Saccharomyces cerevisiae S288C: one gene and its partners. Changing the gene in region 2 together with the main gene of any one other region gives a genetic interaction. Each region holds a gene or a part of one and is shown on either strand. Other genes may lie near its edges. The genes, in order: SDD3, PET9, RPL40A and GIS2.

What was found.
Region 1: of PET9 (region 2) and SDD3, extra expression of one rescues a mutant of the other (dosage rescue), as found in Saccharomyces cerevisiae (one study listed by BioGRID).
Region 3: of PET9 (region 2) and RPL40A, extra expression of one rescues a mutant of the other (dosage rescue), as found in Saccharomyces cerevisiae (one study listed by BioGRID).
Region 4: of PET9 (region 2) and GIS2, extra expression of one rescues a mutant of the other (dosage rescue), as found in Saccharomyces cerevisiae (one study listed by BioGRID).

Annotation. Positions count from the first base shown.
Region 1 is NC_001147.6:131,166-137,947, forward strand, and holds SDD3 (Sdd3p), read right to left. Parts: upstream 4,674-6,782; coding exon 1,560-4,673; downstream 1-1,559. Other genes in the region: serine/threonine protein kinase PKH2, read left to right, coding at 1-1,317; YOL097W-A (uncharacterized protein), read left to right, coding at 5,055-5,240; tryptophan--tRNA ligase WRS1, read right to left, coding at 5,362-6,660.
Region 2 is NC_001134.8:161,981-166,683, reverse strand, and holds PET9 (ADP/ATP carrier protein PET9), read left to right. Parts: upstream 1-2,686; coding exon 2,687-3,643; downstream 3,644-4,703. Other genes in the region: YBL029W (uncharacterized protein), read right to left, coding at 1-550; YBL029C-A (uncharacterized protein), read left to right, coding at 1,912-2,196; SHE1 (She1p), read right to left, coding at 3,969-4,703.
Region 3 is NC_001141.2:66,508-70,662, forward strand, and holds RPL40A (ubiquitin-60S ribosomal protein eL40 RPL40A fusion protein), read left to right. Parts: upstream 1-2,200; coding exon 2,201-2,208; intron 2,209-2,642; coding exon 2,643-3,021; downstream 3,022-4,155. Other genes in the region: MLP2 (Mlp2p), read right to left, coding at 1-1,560; SLN1 (histidine kinase), read right to left, coding at 3,284-4,155.
Region 4 is NC_001146.8:165,907-169,804, forward strand, and holds GIS2 (mRNA-binding translational activator GIS2), read right to left. Parts: upstream 1,885-3,898; coding exon 1,423-1,884; downstream 1-1,422. Other genes in the region: trifunctional dihydropteroate synthetase/dihydrohydroxymethylpterin pyrophosphokinase/dihydroneopterin aldolase FOL1, read left to right, coding at 1-1,191; RTC4 (Rtc4p), read right to left, coding at 2,137-3,342. UniProt on the Saccharomyces cerevisiae protein: May act in the sexual differentiation pathway.

The DNA of each region.
Region 1 (6,782 bases), on a different chromosome or scaffold from region 2:
ATGACACCATATGATACATATCAAATGACACCTCCCTATACGACAAAACAGCAGGATTATTCTGATACCGCAATTGCCGCACCTAAGCCTTGTATTAGTAAGCAAAATGTTAAAAATAGCACAGATTCTCCCTTGATGAACAAGCAAGATATTCAATGGTCCTTTTACCTGAAAAACATCAACGAACATGTACTAAGGACGGAAAAACTGGATTTTGTTACCACAAATTACGATATCTTAGAGAAGAAAATGCTTAAACTAAATGGTTCATTGTTAGATCCTCAACTGTTTGGTAAGCCTAGACATACTTTTTTATCCCAAGTAGCTAGGAGTGGGGGAGAGGTTACAGGTTTTCGAAATGATCCAACTATGACTGCTTATTCCAAAACAGAAGATACGTACTATTCGAAAAATATTATCGATTTGCAGCTCTTGGAAGATGATTATCGAATTGAAGGAGGTGACTTATCGGAGTTGCTTACTAACAGAAGCGGAGAAGGGTACAAATGCAATCAAAACAGCTCACCAATGAAAGACGATGATAAATCCGAATCTAACAATAAAGGAAGCTCTGTTTTTTCTGGCAAGATTAAAAAATTATTTCACCCTACCTCAGCAGCTGAAACGCTCTCTTCCTCTGATGAAAAAACCAAGTACTATAAACGAACCATTGTAATGACATCATTTGGAAGGTTTCTAGTATTTGCCAAGAGGAGGCAGCCAAATCCAGTTACAAATTTAAAGTATGAACTAGAATATGACATAAATTTGCGTCAACAGGGTACCAAAATAAAAGAACTAATCATTCCCTTGGAAATGGGAACTAATCATATAGTTGTGATTCAGACACCTTACAAGTCATTTCTTTTGAGCACTGATAAAAAAACCACGAGCAAATTGTTTACTGTTCTCAAAAAAATTCTTAATTCGAATACAAATAAAATAGAGAAAGAACTGTTGCAAAGAAACCAAAAGGTAATTGAAAGAAGAACATCATCATCCGGAAGAGCCATACCTAAAGATCTTCCAACTTCCAAGTCTCCTTCGCCAAAACCCAGGACGCATAGCCAATCTCCATCAATTTCAAAGCACAATTCGTTTTCTGAATCGATTAATAGCGCTAAGAGCAACAGATCAAGCAGAATTTTTGAAACCTTTATCAATGCCAAGGAACAAAATTCAAAAAAACACGCTGCTCCAGTACCGTTAACCAGTAAATTAGTTAACGGATTGCCAAAAAGACAAGTTACCGTGGGATTAGGTCTAAACACAGGAACAAATTTCAAAAACTCATCTGCAAAATCGAAGAGGTCGTAATTAGTAATTTTATCTAATGTTTTCATCAAGCTACTTAAATACTCTAAAAATAAATATATGAGGAATTTCAAGTACTCATATAAATATAATAATAATTCTCGATCAATCAAATGAAAGAGCGCCGTAAGGCAGAATCCCAGAATTCGAAAAGAATGAGACAATGCTCCTTTTGCTATTTATTGAATGCAGATAATACGCACTGTTTCTGTGTTGAAAGTGAAGCTGAAATGGAGGTCATGTACTCACGCATTTTCGTCTTCTTCACTATCAATTTCGTCATCGTCATCTTCTAGCTCTTCTATTTCGACAGTGAAACCTTGAGTTTCAAAGAATTCTTGAACTGATTCCAATTTAGCTGGATGACAGCTCACAAAGGCAACGCTTTTATTGGAATCAAACATGTTGACAAAATATTTCTGCATGGCATTTTTCAGATCTGTTTTGGTAACATTCTGCAACCTTTCCAAATACAATTCATTGAAGTTGTTCCCCCTTTGCAAACAGAATTCATCAACATATTTGGACAGGGCTGTTTCAAAGTATCCGCATTCGATAGTAGCCAGCCTGTTAATAATACTACTGATGGCACCTTGGATTAACTGCTCATCAAATTCCAAGGCACCTGATGCATAATCTTGAACAATCTGTTTTCCAACTTCATAACATTTAATAATATCAGCGCCGCGGTAAATATTGAATCCCCAAGAATTTATCTCACATAATTTTAACATGCTGGCACCATAGGCCAATCCGGCACCACGGATTCCCTTCCAAAATGGACCTTCAACACATTCTAGATATTCGGAAGCCAATGAGACAATAGCGTATTCGGGATCATGGTAGTCCAAGTTAAATGGGATAGACGTTATTAGATTCATATAAGCAGATTCTGAGGCGGGAGTAGTTATTATAAAGGCCTTTTCACCAGGTGTTCTGCAAATCGATGAAATGGTATCTAGGGCTCTTGGAACTGGTGGAATTTTTAACTTCTCAACTGGATGTGCAATGTTCAAGCACTTAATTAAGGGATTCCATGGTTCATAAACGTCATCGATCTTTGAGATGTCACCAAGAACCAAAATATGAAACTTGTTGAAATTTGCTCTCAGTTGCTTTCTCATTGTTTCTATTCTTGGCAAAATTTCTTTCTCAAAGTTGCCATTCTCAATTTCTGCAAAAATCTCTTGTAATTTTGCTTCAACAAATAATGGATCGGTGGATTTTTTCAGCGATCTTGCCGAATAGAGATTTCTGTTAGTTAAAGAACTTAACATAACATTACCATTTCTTTTCCATTCTACAATAGAATTCAAATAATTCTCCAGCAGAATACGAACACGATTTTCATCAAAAACCATGTCAAATAGGCAGTGCTTGATCCATTGAACAGAGTTAGAGTAACCCCCAGCTCTACATTGAATTTTAAAATTAATAAGGTCAGGACAAGAACCCTTCAAACCTTGGTTGATCTGTGCGTCAATAGTTTCTGATTTTAACTTGGCGACAACTTCCTCAAACGAGAGCATAGTTTCTACATTACTCTCCTCATCAAGGATTTTCATTGGCATGGAAAATAGCTCGTCAAACATATTAAAATATGGTAAAAGCGAGGTATCCTTAATAGATGCGGAGTTGACCAAAAAATGCAGCTCTATAAATTGAGACGGGAAATGATTTAAGTGAATGAAAAGAGGAAAATTGTCTGGCCTCGTTTCTAAAATTTTTTTGGTCAGCGGATCACTAACATTATTGTATTTATACGAATCGACAGTTGCAATGCTTTTCGTGTTGACAAATTCAACACTCTTTGAAGGATTATCAATCTCAAATTTCTGTAGTAGAGATTTCGGAATTGGCCTATCATTAATATTTTTTGCATTGTTCAATCTTTTCAATAAAACCAGTTTCTTTTCATCATCAAATTCAGCTTCTCTTTGTTTGATCAAATCCGATTTTTCTTTCTCTAGTTGTTCATACATCAAAGCGCTTGGTTTAGCGGTAACTATGATAGGTTTGTTGTCTACGAATATTCTGTTCAGCAAAGATTGCCAGTCCTTTTGGGACCATTGTAATAAAGCATCAAAATCACTTAAATCCTTGAGAGAAGACACTAATGAAGAACCATCTTCATTACCATAAATATAGTCGGTAATCACAGCACTAGAAAAACGACTCTCGCCATTTTTTTCATAGTTCAGCAAATATTCCCATTTAGTATTTTCAACTACCTGTCTAACTCTTGATAAATCAATGGTATGGGTTTTCAAAATCTCCAGTACCTTGGTCTTTGTTGCTGCTATTTTTTCTGTTGGGACACCTTGGATACGAAGATCAATTATGGTTCTCATGAAATAATCAGTGCAACAATCAGTGGAATTTGCCATGGGATCGTCAATTTCAACCAGTTCTCTTGTAAACACTGCCAATGCAGAGTCAGTAAAGTAATCTAATAGCACATCAACCGCTAGGTCATTACGAAAATCTGAGTAGGGAACACCAATCCAAGAAAAGAGTAATTCACCCTGACTTTCATCAAGTTCAGGAAATTCTACAGTAGATTCCGTAACTTTATCTCTAGATTGCGGTATGTGCGAAAGCTTGTTGTCCAAAAATGGTCTTTTCTTTGGTATATTCGATGGAATCTCCGGCAATTTGTTATCCCATTCTTCCATGACGGTTAACAGTTCATCTGTTGGTACGTTACCACAAACAATGACACAAAGATTATCAGAAGAATACAGAGATTTGTGAAATTGTCTGATTTCGTCGTTGGTTAAGGTTCTTAAATTTTTCGTTAGCCCACCAGTTTCTGACCGATAGCCACTTCCTTCAGGAAACATTAATCGCTGCTTTTCTAACCCTGAAATGTACCAGCCCTGAGTTTCAATGGCTTCCATTTCACTAAATACCACACCTTTATCACCCAAATTTTCCGGGTCGATGTGATAAACCTCAGTTAAACAAGCCTCGTCTGTTAAAGTTGGATGTAGGATGTGATCTAGATAAGCAGGTAGCAACTTTGAGAATCCCTTCCAGCCAGCACTGCTTAATGTATAAACAGTTTGGTCGGTATCAGTCCAAGCATTGGTGTTAGACAAAGACAGATTACCAGCTGTGTCTAATAAACCTTTGTATGGGTAAGATTTAGAACCCATGAAGATCAAATGCTCCAAGGTATGCGGAGCACCTGAATCATTAAGACATTCTGTAGGAACAGCAAAGTAACCGTGAACCAATGGGGAGGTTTTGTGGTTTATATGTACCAGTTGCAGTTTAGTTCGTTCCGAGATATATTTAGTTATATGGTATTGTGGGACATAATCCGGTTGGAATGATACGAGCTTCTTGAACCCCATTGTGAAGATTCGACGAACTGTGTTGAAAGTGCGTATAATTGGTCTTCGTGCCGTTTTTTGGGTCACTTTCAACTTTTCAGCGAGTAGTTTCTCTCACTATATCTTACGCTCTGTTAAAATCTTTTGCCACTACTTCAAAATTACGATCTATGGGATGAAAAATTTACATGAATTTACCAATACTCGGAAAAATGCAGGACAAGAAATAAGAACATTTGTATAATACAAGAGACGCATATACACATACCTACTCAGATAAGTTTAACGAGTTTCTCTTCCATAGGAGGGTCTAATCTCCTTCAGAAGTCTAACGTCTAAAAGTTCGTAAAGAATATCATCATAAAGTATGGTATACAAAATTTACTGTGCAACAACAGCACAATGCAGTCCATGATCTGCTCATCTGAGCACGAAAACCTAACCTGCAAGTACTGGCCTGTTAGCTTCCTCGCTTCTTGGTGTGAGAATGGGTCTGGCACACTGATGCAGAAAGATGGTAGTCTTTTATATGCCGTGAAAAATTTTTCCCATATATTTGAAAAAAAAATTTTTCATACCAATCTATAGAAATAGTGAGGTCAGGAGACATCGCAACACTATTGTTCTATTGCATTATTTTTTTAGTGTTAAACTACAATTTCGGATTCTATATCATTGTATATAATAGCGTCAGAATAAGCGTGACTACTTACTTCTTTTCTTGCTTAGTTTTTGGCTTAGGTGCGACAAGTCTTTCCTTTTCGCCCCAAACCAACTTATGTGGGACCATGAATTTGTCCAAGGTCTCTTCGTCCACCTGAGCTCTGCGTTCCTGGAACGCCTTAACGAATTCTTGCAGAGTCTCGATACACAGTTTCTTCATTTCACCTGATAGTAATTCACCGGACTTATATTTGTCATAGCATTCCTTCAAGAAAACATCGTCATCCTTGAAAAATGACAAGTATTGGTATGCAACATCGACATCGGGATTACCACCTAATTCTCTATGTAGGTCGGCGGACACTTGACCACCGCTGAATGCGTACTTGTTAATTTTCTTTTGAATTTGCTTTGGTGTATCGGTCATGAAAATGGCAGTGGTATCATCAGAGGCTGACATTTTGGTCGTGGAACCTTGCAAAGCTGGAAAGAATCTGGAATGAAGCAAAGCAGGTTTGGAGTACTTCAATTTATCCGCGACATCCCTACAAACTCTGAAATATGGATCTTGGTCAATTGCACATGGAATCAAACATGGTGTCTTATCAGGCAAGCCTAACACATTAGGAAATGAGCTTGGGAATGCGGTAGCAATTTGAATGGAGGCAAAATGGAACTTACCAATACAGTCGGAGTCATTAAACCCGAAAACAGCCTTTGCAGTGGATCCTGTAATTTGTCTGGAAACTCTTACTACAGTTTCGTAAAATGCACCACCCATGTATTGCAAATCAGAAAAGATAAAGGTGTTCTTTGGATCAAAGCCAACAGCAATGATATCCTTGGCATTTTCACGGGCAAAATTCTTAACGTCATTGATGGTCAACTTGTGTTTGAATAAAAATTTTTCGTCATCTGTCAACTCTATGACTAATGGTACGTCAAACACTTCCTGTAACCATTTGGTGAAGACAAAAGGGATCATATGACCCAAGTGCATAGAATCGCTCGAAGGACCTCTACCAGTGTATAGGAAAAATGGTTTGCCTTGTTCGTAAAGGTCTAATATTTTAGTGAAGTCACGCTCACTGAAAAACAATCCCTTACGCAAAAAATGATGTGGTTCACGACCCGTCACTTGCTTGAATCTCTTCAGGGTTTCTTCGTTGACCGGCTTAGTACCGAATTGTTTGATCAATTTGTCGTAATCAATATTTTGGGCTCTACCTTGTTCATCAACCCCACCTTCCACATCCCAAGGTGTAACTACTTGCTCTTTAACATCTGTGCTTTTTAGTTCCGACACTTGTTGGGTGACTTTCTCTACAGTTTCGTCGTTGCTCATCGTTGTTCTACGACTATTTTTTGTTATTGAGTTTTATTTCTGATACCTCAATGACTAAAAAAAATTTTTCAACGTTTTGATCTTTTTTCTCTCTTTTCCATTATAAGCGGAAAAGAGATACT
Region 2 (4,703 bases):
TGTCACTGCTTTCGCTGGTATTAGAAATTATTGCTTCCCCATGTTTCAAAGAGGACGACGATGGTGGTGGCGGAGAAGGCGAATTCGATAGGGATAACGAAAACTTTGCAGGTGGCAGACTCGAAACTAATGACGAAGGCGTTGATATATCCTTTCTGTAAATGTCTTTACAATTTACGGCAAATTGCGGTTCGTTGAGAGTAGAAGGGTAATCGAGTAAAAAGGCCATCTGACTGATGTCATTACCGAGTAGATTATTATTATTATGATTATTATTATTATTTTTATTATTATTACTATTATTATTACTATTACTATTATTAATGCTATTGTTTTTAGCAGTTGTAGTAGCCAGCTTATCGTTATAAGACAGTAAAAAGTTGGAGTACGTTAAATTTTCGTCACCATAAGCATTAACGTTGATGTCATTGTTATTAATGGGGAGAAAGGGCGAATTAACATCACAATTTAAAGGTGCGAATGATTCCAAGTTGTAATTTATATTTTCATTTTCGTAAAAAGAGTCGAATTCGGGGATATTGGCGCACATTAGCTTTATTTTGGTTTTATAATCTCTATATATTACGACTAAGCTTTTGCCTAATACAAGATTAACACGCAAGTATAAAAGGAGATAACAGTGCAAATTCAAAAAAAAGAGTACAGATTAGAACTGGAAACCAACAGTCGCATATATATAATTTGCTTAATTCCTTTTAAACAATTGAACTTTTTCTCGAAAACACAACAAAGAGAGAAAAAAAAAAAAAAAAAAAAAAAAGAGAAAAACATGATAAAAATTGCATATATGTGGGTAGAAACCTTAAAAGTTATAATAAAGGGAATCCCACGCAGGAGCGGCATGGGAAGATAATATAATGAAACGAGCAAAAAATGGAGTCAACGTATGGCGTATTAAGATTGTGTTTATTTTTATGCAGGAAGGGGAATCGCACAGATAGTCAATAACCAACTGGCCGACTAACTGCATAAGAAATCGTTGTTTTTTTTTTCGAAGGCTCATTCAGATAAAGAAATCACTACGCGTTTTGTCTGTGAAGTCACAGATTTGAAAAATGAGAACGAAAAACATAACCACCTATGAGATTGAGTCCCTACATTTTACCATTTACGCTACTAAGTTACCCAATATCGTAACACGAAATAACAAGTTAAGGGGAGGAATGAAAAGGTTATCAAAGCGGCAGGAGACAGGAGGAATAACGCAGGACGAGACCCAAAGATAATATTTCTATAACGAAGTCGTTCGAACCCATCAGATTTCTGCTTTGATTACATACACAAGCTTTGTTTCTTTCTACAGGTGATTGTATGTGGGCTTATGGTATGCCTGCAGGACGCGTATGCATGTACGACGGCACGACCCGGAGCAAAACGGCGAGTGCTCTAACGCGGTGTATGGGCTAGATTCGTAATAGGGCTCTGGGTTTGCTGCAAGGGGTAATTATCAGCGATGGAATGACTCCGTTACCGCCCGACGCTATGTACGCCTTTTCCGCGTGCGCCGGTCTTTACCGGCAGGGGAGAATGTGGTGACGGCGGAGCCGGCGTATGGTGCCTCTACAAAAAATACGAAGTCTCATTTTAGTCACACTGATTTTCATAAGAAATGAGGAAAAAGAAAAGAGATGAAAATTGAGAAAAAAAAAAAAGCATTGTCGGGTAACAAATTATGTAGTGAAGATCAAAGGATATACACACAAACGAAGATGCGCATTAGCCACGTCCATCCCTTTCCCTTTTTCCCTTTCTACTCCGTTTTTACAATAATGTACGTTATAAAACAAGCGGCTGAAGAACAAGTTGGGAATAAATGTCAGCAAGGAAGATTGGTGTAAAGTGAAATCAGATAAGCAACTTAATACACAACCTCAAAAAGAAAAAATTACCATGTCATTCATACCTATTGTATGTGGTATGAAGAGTTTCGACTCTTCATACGATACCGTTCCCGGACATCAAAACCTGTATTGCCCGAATTGTCACAATTATAGTGTCGGCCCCATAAAAAGAAAGGAATTTTTCACTATTTGGTTTATACCGTTGGTTCCGGTCTTCTGGGGAAAACAGTTGCACTGCCCCATATGCAATTGGCGACAAGATTTTAAGAATGACGAACAGCTTAATAAAGTCATTCAAGAACAACAAAACTTACGACAAAAGCAGCCCAACTGATAACGAAATAATTTCCTTTTCTTCCTCTTATATATGTATTTATATATATGTGTTCACTATAACCATACATATATTATACAGAAGTATAGACACGATTTTTCCATACGTAACAAATAACATCACGATGCACGAGCACTGTTTCCAATGGAGAACAAGCGAAAGGCGGTAAATGCGCTATGCTGATTGGTGTAGAGCGCGGGCCAATGAGAAGGCCCCACTCTCAGAGGGTGAGGTGCGATTATCGGGGACATGTCTCCGTCGATCGGGCCCACGTCGTCGCACAATATAAATACCATTTGAGTTTTTAATATTAATTTTTCACGACAACCCACTCAAAAAAGTATATATTCACTGTTAGTTATACGGAACATTGCAATACATCTACAAGTCAAAGGAGCCCCTCTATATTATTTATATTTGTCGTTGTTCTTTTTTGTGTGCTCTTTTATACTTCAGAATCATACATTAACATACATATAAGCAAATAGCCATGTCTTCCAACGCCCAAGTCAAAACCCCATTACCTCCAGCCCCAGCTCCAAAGAAGGAATCTAACTTTTTGATTGATTTCTTAATGGGTGGTGTCAGTGCCGCTGTCGCCAAAACTGCTGCATCTCCCATCGAAAGAGTTAAACTTTTGATCCAAAACCAAGATGAAATGTTAAAACAAGGTACTTTGGACAGAAAATACGCAGGTATCTTAGACTGTTTCAAGAGAACCGCTACACAGGAAGGTGTTATCTCATTCTGGAGAGGTAACACTGCTAACGTTATCCGTTATTTCCCCACTCAAGCTTTGAATTTCGCCTTCAAGGACAAGATCAAGGCCATGTTTGGTTTCAAGAAGGAAGAAGGTTACGCCAAATGGTTTGCCGGTAACTTGGCATCTGGTGGTGCTGCTGGTGCCTTGTCATTACTATTTGTTTACTCTTTGGATTATGCAAGAACTAGATTGGCTGCTGACTCCAAGTCCTCTAAAAAGGGTGGTGCTCGTCAATTCAACGGTTTGATCGATGTCTACAAGAAGACCTTAAAATCTGATGGTGTTGCTGGTCTTTACAGAGGTTTCTTACCTTCTGTCGTTGGTATTGTTGTCTACAGAGGTCTATACTTCGGTATGTACGATTCTTTGAAGCCTCTATTGTTGACTGGTTCTTTGGAAGGTTCATTCTTGGCTTCATTCTTGTTGGGTTGGGTTGTTACTACTGGTGCTTCTACATGTTCTTACCCATTGGATACCGTTAGAAGAAGAATGATGATGACCTCCGGTCAAGCTGTTAAGTACGACGGTGCCTTTGACTGTTTGAGGAAGATTGTTGCTGCTGAAGGTGTTGGTTCTCTATTCAAGGGTTGTGGTGCTAACATCTTAAGAGGTGTCGCAGGTGCTGGTGTTATCTCAATGTACGACCAACTGCAAATGATCTTGTTTGGTAAGAAGTTCAAATAAGTCTAATCTGGCTTGATTCTTAATCTAAATTCTTTCTCACATTTTCCTTTTTTTCTTCTTTGGATTTTTGGTGTTTAATGAGTGACACGATTTGTTTTGATAATATTATTATCCTCCTATTTTTTTAGAAATTCTTTTCAACAAGAATCAAAGATTCATAAAAAAAGAAAACGATGAAATTTTTTGAACAACTTTTACGTATAAAGAAGAAAAAAAAAAAATTCTAAATATCCAGTAAATAGTTTTATATTAGTAGTATTCTTTCCCACTTTTTAAATGTCATCACATGATGTTTCTTATAAAATGCAATTTTTTTATTACTTAATCACCGCCAAATAGGTCTATCACTCTTTGTGCCGGTGGCAGTACTTTGCTTAAGGTTACTGGACAATGAACCACTTGTCTTACTTTTAACCAACCGAGTCTTTACATTTGTGTGTTCCTTGGATTTTGCAGAGGTTCCTGACGATAAGTTGTTCATAGACGTCGACCTAGAGAACGTTGTTTGCTTGTAAAGTCTATCAAAAACGGAAACTGAATTCTTCAATTGCGAATTTGTTCCTTGCGCAACTGGCGTGCGTTCTACCGGTTTGGTTTTGGCGTGTAAATCTCTTATTGATATCGATCTGTGTACTTTAGATCTTGGTATCGATGAAGCTGTCGAAGAGGAGGATGTATTACGGTGAGCGGAATTGATCTTGTTCAAAGAATTCGTAGTGGGCATTAGAAAGTTTGGTTTGTGCATAAATGGCTTGGGCTTTGACAATGGTGTGTTCTTTATTGAATTAATGTTAGAATTTGCTTGCATAGATCTCGCTCTAGCCACTATGTCATTACCATTAACCAATGAGTTCCGTAATTTCAATCTTCGTATTCTTCTTGTGATATCGTTTACCACTGGTGTAGTGTATGGAATTGAGCGGGACGGTCTCGACCTTTTCATCGAATCCGATCGATCCTGTGGGATTGCATGTTGTGACTTTCTCTTGGGCGTATGTAAAAGGGTATAATGTGTGTCTAGCGACTCCATCTGGCCAAATTGAGAGTCGTGCTTTGCTTG
Region 3 (4,155 bases), on a different chromosome or scaffold from region 2:
ATTCACATTACTGAATTCAACCAGTCTTTCCGTAATGATGGCTTGGGAATCATTTTCATTTACGATATTGCTCGACTCCAGTATTTTTCTTAATGATATCAGTTCATCTTGCGATAACGGCGATGCCGTTTCCTGTATCGCAGATGTATTTAAAAGAAGTAGTTTAACTTGACGGGCCAAATCCAAACGTTGTTTCACCAGAGAATGAATATTTGCTTCACAGCCATTTATCTTCTGTCTCAGTGAAGTTATTTCTCTTTCTTGCTTACGCTTAGTCAAAGAAACAGTTTCTAGTAGTTCTGTGGAACGTTTTAGTTCATGTTCCAATGATTTTGTTCTTTCCTTAAAAGAGATCAGTTCAGGGGTTTTATGCTCTAATTCTAGTATAAAATCCTCCAGTTGATTCTGTAATTGAAATTTCTGATTCCTTTCCTTTATCAATTGTCTTTTCAGCACTTTGATATCAGAAAATAGTTTACCTACTGTGGGAGAAACTGCACTCGTAGTCATTGTAGCTTCTTCTTCCTTGGTACAATCCATAACTATATTCTGTAACCTTTGACACTCATTTTTTGATTTTTCGAGTCTTAATTTTGTGTCTATAAGTTCGTCTATCACATCAGTATGTTCAGGGTTCCTGCAGGAATTATCATCATTTTTCTCTATTGCTCTCAAGGAACAATCTTTTTCCAATGATGTTAGTTGTGAGCGTAGCAAATCGTTCATATTTTTTTGTAAAGTCATTTCTTTGGAGAATTCTGCTTTTTCCACACTTGCGGTATCTTTCAAATTTTTCATTTCCAGTACTTTCTCTTCCACCGACTGGGATAATTGTTTATTTTGATTTAGTAAAAACTTATTGTACGTAAAGACAGATTCATAGTTGGATTGCATTTGGTATAGTTTTTCTTCGAGGTTCTCTACGTGCGATGATTTTGTGACTTCTTCTGTTAGCGTTTTTTTGCTAAAAGATGATAATTTTTCTTCAATTAATTTTTTACTTTGTAACATTAATTCTTTTTCCTGTACTGAGGTATCGTACTTTAACTGTAATGATATAGCATTGGACTTGCACCTTTGTAGTATATTTTCCATTTCCATCAGCTTTCTTCGAAGAAGCTTATTTTCTTTGTTCAAATCATCATTTAAAGAATCATTCCCCTGATCTCTACTCTGCCAAATGTCATATTCTTCTTTAACTCGTTTTTCGTCATTTACTTCTCTCATAGCTTCATGGCTCACATGCAATTGTTTTTTTAGTGCATCTATTTCCCGCCTATATCTGGAACGTTCTTCATTCAGCTGATCTTTCAAGCCATTCAATTCTTCTTTAGCTGTGTTCTTCTGCTCAGAAGATTCATCTAGTAGCTGCTTAAGTTTTGAAATCCTTGAATAGTACTGCGATTTGATCTCATCGACCAAAACATTGAGTTTTGTCACTTCCTCTTCAGAACGTTCAAACTTGGCTATTTTCTTGTATAACTTTCTTAAGACAGGATAGGTAACACCTTGAAGTGATTCGAATGGAACATTTAAAAACTCAGATATTTTGTCCTCCATTGCCGGTTTGCTTCCGCCCAGTGTTCTTTCGCCTTAAATTTCTTTTGGTAAACTTCCACTAGAAAAAGAAAAGCCACCAGAGAAATAAGCGCTTGCAATTTAACGCCGATATTGTTTTCTTCTTCTATTATCTTCAATTATCGATCAACTCTATCCAACAATTCTATAATATCCACTGTTCATTAACGAATATTGGTCTTTTTCCCTTATGGTGAAGTAAATTTTCCATGCAATATCCGGGTAAGCTATCGACAAGTTTATTGACTGCAATTTGAGTTTATTACATCCGTACATTACTAAGATGTATGGTTTTTCTATTTTTGTGCTCCGTGTCGATATTTCGTGGAGCAAACCAGAAAAGATGCGGAACCTCTTAGCACTCCGCCTGGACATAGGCGGAGCATATTCCTCCTATGGGATGGGTTTTGTTGTACTCTTTTCTCTCTAGACAGGACCTCCGATTGCCTCCCTGAGGGTGAGATGGTTTCCGGCCTCAGGACGGCCTTCTCCAGTTTCTAGCGAGGCATACATTCCAACCAAAGGTGTATCAAGAATATCTGAAATTAAAGGTAGTTGAATCTCTATTTGTTGTTGTTATTACCGCTTATTATCCCATAGTTGAGACGACCAAGATTCAAACATGCAAATGTATGCACCATATCCATTCTAAACATAGTTTTTCGAACGTTCAGAGCTTAAAGGGACAATTATTTTAGAAACTGAATTTTTACCCAGTGGAATAACATCGTATCTGTAAAGTCTACAAAATTTTTTATCCATCAAAAATTAAAACAAAGAAAACTGCCAAACTGAATATGAGGAACTTTCCTCTCTAGGAATGACTTAGTGAATGTACAGTGACTTGTGGAAAATATGATTAGATTTTGAGCGGGTGATGCGACTTAACAGTCTCATTGCCTAAGAAATATCCAAATTTGTGGTTCATGCTCTCCCCCAAGATATGACGATGAGAGCTCGTTTAAAATTTTGTCTTCTTCCGAACAGTTATGAAAAAACTATTACGTGTTTTTATGATATCCTTACTAACTTGTCATTTTTTTATAAAATTATTTTTTTAACAGTTTTGTCAAGACTTTGACTGGTAAGACCATCACTTTGGAAGTTGAATCTTCTGACACTATTGACAATGTCAAGTCAAAGATTCAAGACAAGGAAGGTATCCCACCTGACCAACAAAGATTGATCTTTGCTGGTAAGCAATTGGAAGACGGTAGAACCTTGTCTGACTACAACATTCAAAAAGAATCCACTTTGCACTTAGTCTTGAGATTGAGAGGTGGTATCATTGAACCATCTTTGAAAGCTTTGGCTTCCAAGTACAACTGTGACAAATCTGTTTGCCGTAAGTGTTATGCTAGATTGCCACCAAGAGCTACCAACTGTAGAAAGAGAAAGTGTGGTCACACCAACCAATTGCGTCCAAAGAAGAAGTTAAAATGATCTGTTTCGCCCAATCAATCTATACATTTATTTACTGTATACTTTAATGTACATCTTCTTTTATCATACCTACTGTTAAAATCATAATATTAATTCATACAATATACTTAAGAAAACAATATACTTTTCTTAGTTTCATAACTTTGGAATCTATAATGTTGTTTTTTTTTTTTTAAGTATATTTGTATATTATGCATATAAGTCAACGCGTAGCGGTGGTATTACGCGCAAGCTTTTGATTTCTCTTACTATTCTTGGTTGTTCATTTGTTATTTTTCTTTCCCTGATATGCTGCACAAAACTCAGTAAGAATAGTTTTCAATTTTGGTCTTTTGATTGGTTTCGATAAAAATCCGTTCATTCCTGATTCCAAACATTCTTTAATGTTGCTATCGTCAGCAAAAGCGGTTAGAGCGACAATAGGTGAGGTATAACCTAAATCGCGCCTTATCATCTTGGTAGAAAGTAAACCATCCACTTTAGGCATCTGGACATCCATGAAAATCATATTATAATTTTCGCCCTTAGATGTCAATTCTTTAACTTTGTCGAATGCTTCTTGGCCATCGCAAGCCAGTTCAATATTTTCAATGCCCTCCAAGTTCAACATTCTTTTGATAACTTCCTGATTTACATGATTATCTTCTACAACCAAAATTTTGACACTTGTTTCATTTTTATCGTCGTCTTTGACTGTGGGGATGTTTCTACTTGATGTGGCTGTACCAGTACTTTGCAAAAATGGTCTATCAAGATTGACAGAACCTAGACCTTCATGTCGAGAACGATGCTTAGAAGACAAGGAATTTTGTTCGTTAACTTCAGCACCTGTAAGACATATAGAAGGTTTAATATTTTTTTCCTGCAGTTGTTCAAGCCCTCCATTGTCGTTTTTTTCTTCTCTTCCCATGTTAGGATTTCCAACATCTTTCGTCTCATGCTTACCTTTACTTCTTACCTCCGGTAGCACGTCGTTGGTTAGGCTACTTCTATTTGTAGCTGGTGTTGCAACAGATGATGTGGATTGTCGGCTCTTGATGCTTTTAGCAACACTAAACTTGACTCTTCTGTTCTTTCTACTCTCAGGATTAAATTCGTCCTCAAAAGGAAACTCCATATCTGCAAAACTGATCT
Region 4 (3,898 bases), on a different chromosome or scaffold from region 2:
CCGTTATGTGAATTAATATCCCCCGTTCACCTTCATCCTGTGACAGCGGAACCCATTGTAGACCATTTAAAACAGTTATACGACAAACAGCATGATGAAGATACCTTATGGAAATTAGTTCCATTGCCTTATCGTAGTGGTGTGGAGCCTAGATTTTTGAAATTCAAGACCGCTACAAAACTTGACGAATTTACTGGAGAAACAAACAGAATTACTGTTTCACCTACATATATCATGGCTATCTTCAACGCTACACCAGATTCATTTTCCGATGGAGGTGAGCATTTTGCGGACATTGAAAGTCAATTGAATGATATCATTAAATTGTGTAAAGACGCATTATATTTGCATGAGAGCGTCATCATCGACGTTGGAGGGTGTTCTACCAGGCCTAACTCTATTCAGGCGTCTGAGGAAGAAGAAATACGCAGGTCTATCCCATTAATTAAGGCCATTAGAGAAAGCACTGAGTTACCGCAAGATAAAGTCATACTATCCATTGATACTTATCGTTCCAATGTCGCTAAAGAAGCGATTAAAGTTGGAGTGGATATTATTAATGATATTTCGGGAGGTTTATTTGACAGCAACATGTTTGCCGTAATTGCAGAGAACCCAGAAATTTGTTATATTTTATCACACACACGTGGTGATATTTCAACGATGAATAGGCTGGCGCATTACGAAAATTTTGCATTGGGTGATTCTATTCAGCAAGAATTTGTTCATAATACCGACATTCAGCAGCTAGACGACTTGAAAGACAAAACAGTGTTAATCAGGAATGTTGGTCAAGAAATTGGCGAAAGGTATATCAAAGCGATTGATAATGGAGTAAAGCGCTGGCAAATTCTAATCGACCCTGGACTTGGTTTTGCTAAGACCTGGAAGCAAAACTTACAAATTATTAGACATATCCCCATTTTAAAGAACTACTCATTCACCATGAACTCAAACAATTCGCAAGTGTATGTTAACCTCAGAAATATGCCCGTTTTATTGGGTCCATCGCGCAAAAAATTCATTGGACATATCACAAAAGATGTGGATGCGAAGCAAAGAGACTTTGCTACTGGAGCGGTGGTAGCGTCGTGTATTGGTTTCGGCAGCGACATGGTTAGGGTCCATGACGTTAAAAATTGTTCGAAGAGCATTAAATTAGCAGATGCTATTTATAAAGGTTTGGAATAAAGGTTAGTTATATAGATTAAATATGTAATTCTGTTTTGTAATAATTTTTTTTCCTGTTTCATAATAAAGAATCGTTAAAAATAACCAAGGGAGGAAACAAGTGAAATGAAGTATAGAAAAGATATAGAAAATAAACTTAAATATTCAGTTTACTTGTGCTTCTTTTTTCCCCTCTATGAAATATAGCATGATAAGTGATTGTTCCTTTGTTTTTTTCAGTGGATGTTTCACCTAAGCCTTTGGACAATCCTTGGAAATATGGCCAGTTTCGTTACAGTTGTAACAAAGCCTGTCATTTTGACAGTCCCTGGACATGTGGCCAGCTTGACCACAAGTGTAACATTTCAATCCACTAATTCCGTCCTCTTTCATACAGTCCTTAGCCATATGGTTTGGACCACCACATTTATAACATGAAACTTTGGAGAATCTGCTGGTCTTCTTTGGTTCAGGGCATTCTCTGGAGATGTGGCCGGTTTGGTTACAGTTGAAACAACGTTGCACAGTACATTCACTTCTAACGTGACCGGTTTCACCACAATTGTAACATTGCTTGAATTCAACTGTTCTTGGCATGGTACAATCCGTTTGAACGTGACCGGGTTTGTTACAGTTGTAACATAGTCTTTCAGAATCACAGTCTTCTGCCAAATGGCCAATCTTACCGCAAACGTAACAAGCTTTTTGAGACATCTTTTTCGTATTCTTTTCTTTTTTCCTGATTTCTGAAGGGAAAGCCTTAAAATAATACAATCCTCAAGTGCCCCCAAAGCAGAAAGAGCATTTCTAATCCATCGATGACCTTATTACAACTCTTGCCAAAAGAGAAAAGGAACGAAAAGAAAATTTTTTCAGCATTTCGTCTATCATGACACCACAGCAGTTCTTACTATAAAGCTCAAATCCCTAAGCCATAAAGGCAACAAACGGCAATATACTACCTGTTTAATCGTGCGTATCCAGTCGCCATCTCCTGCTGGAATAGTTATGAACATCGAGTTTCAGTTCCCGCAGACGGTCTTCCTCTATGGCAGCTTCCCATTGCTCAATTGGATCAGAGTCGGCTACTATGATACCGTATTCAACTGTATCCTCGAGTAAGTCATAGGCTAGCATCCTTAATTCGGGATCGTAGTAATATTCCTTCTCGTTTAATTGTTGCTTTGGATGTTTATTCGGTGTCTTCGACGAGCAAGATTTATTCGAGAGATTTAATTGGTAAATACAAAAAGACGTAAGGGTTTCTGGAGCCAAAACGTAGTTACAGAAATCTGTTATCCCCCACCATTTTAAGGTTGCGGGCTGATTGTGCGTGAGTGCCCTTTTATATCTCTTAGCGATTTCTTCGCCAACCCTCAATTGCCTTTTCAGGCCGTAAAATCCAGCAGTAAATTTGTTTAAATTCAACTTTCTAAACTCATCTACGGACAAGTAAGCCTTTTGTGAGTTTTTGAATGCATTTTTTGCTTCAAAATAGTATACAGACGATATCTTTCCCTCCAATATGTCCATTACAATGGGCATGAAGGGTTCTACTTCAGTGAGTAGCTCATCCGAAAACAACATGGGTGGTAGTTTGAACTTGCTCATGTATTCTTCCCTTACTTGAAGTTTTTTGATTATCTGCTCTTTAGAACTCAAACAACTTTGTAACGATAGCTTTTTATCCTCGGGAAATGAAGAGGAGAAGATTTGGTTATCTTCAACTGCCGATAGTTCTGCCTCCAAGAGTAATTTTTTACCGTCTAAAAGATTATTGTTCCTGCATTTGATAGACTCGATATCTTCATTTTTCAAATTCTGTATTAGTGGGATAGAAACGACCTTCTCTTCTTCTTTTTCTTTTCCTCTGAGTGCTGCATTCTTTGCGGCTTGTACTTCTGAATTTGGAAATGACCTCGAAAGTTTATCAAATGTGGCCACAGTGGAAAGCTTTTTTACTTCAATCTCATCTTCTGTGATACTGTCTATTTTGCCGCGCTTTTTTGAGGGGGAAAAGGCATCATGGCCTGATAAGTCGTCACTTTCTCTATCATGTATGTCATGTTTTCCTTGTCTTTTCATTAACAGTAAGTTATCACCACTTCCCTTTTTTGTGGAATAAACACCTTTTCTCCTCACTCGATTAATTCCCAGACCAGGCCCAACCATCTCTGTCTACGCAGGTCAAAAATTTGTGCTAAGGTCTCGAGAGCACATACAGTACCCTTTTAATGTGATCTCATCGCTACATTTTTCAAAGCTTCCCATTTTAGCGACGCCATCTATATATAGGAAAAAAAAAAAGTTTAGGACGCTATTTACCACAACAATTGAGATGCAGCACAAATAGGAGTATCATTGCCTCCCAATTTTCAAGGGAGTTTTCAGAGAATTACTATTCCATACCTATTCAATTACTGGAGTTGTCTTCAGTATCATAAAGGGTTTTGGATTTTCAATCGAATTGCCATTTTTTTCCTGCTTACGTTCGATAGATAGCCAAATGCAGTTTATATATATGTATGTAGACTTGAAGGTATATTAACAGTGCCCATGTTTCTTTGGAAAGTGTCAAATATCGCAAAGCATAACCTTGAAGGTTAACATTATTTTCTAGAAATACACCTTTCCCACTGGATATGATGACGGAAGAAACAAAACGTTAAATTATTGTACCGTTGTATAAAACAGTAACCGAGCATGGACAATTCATTTTTACACCCCA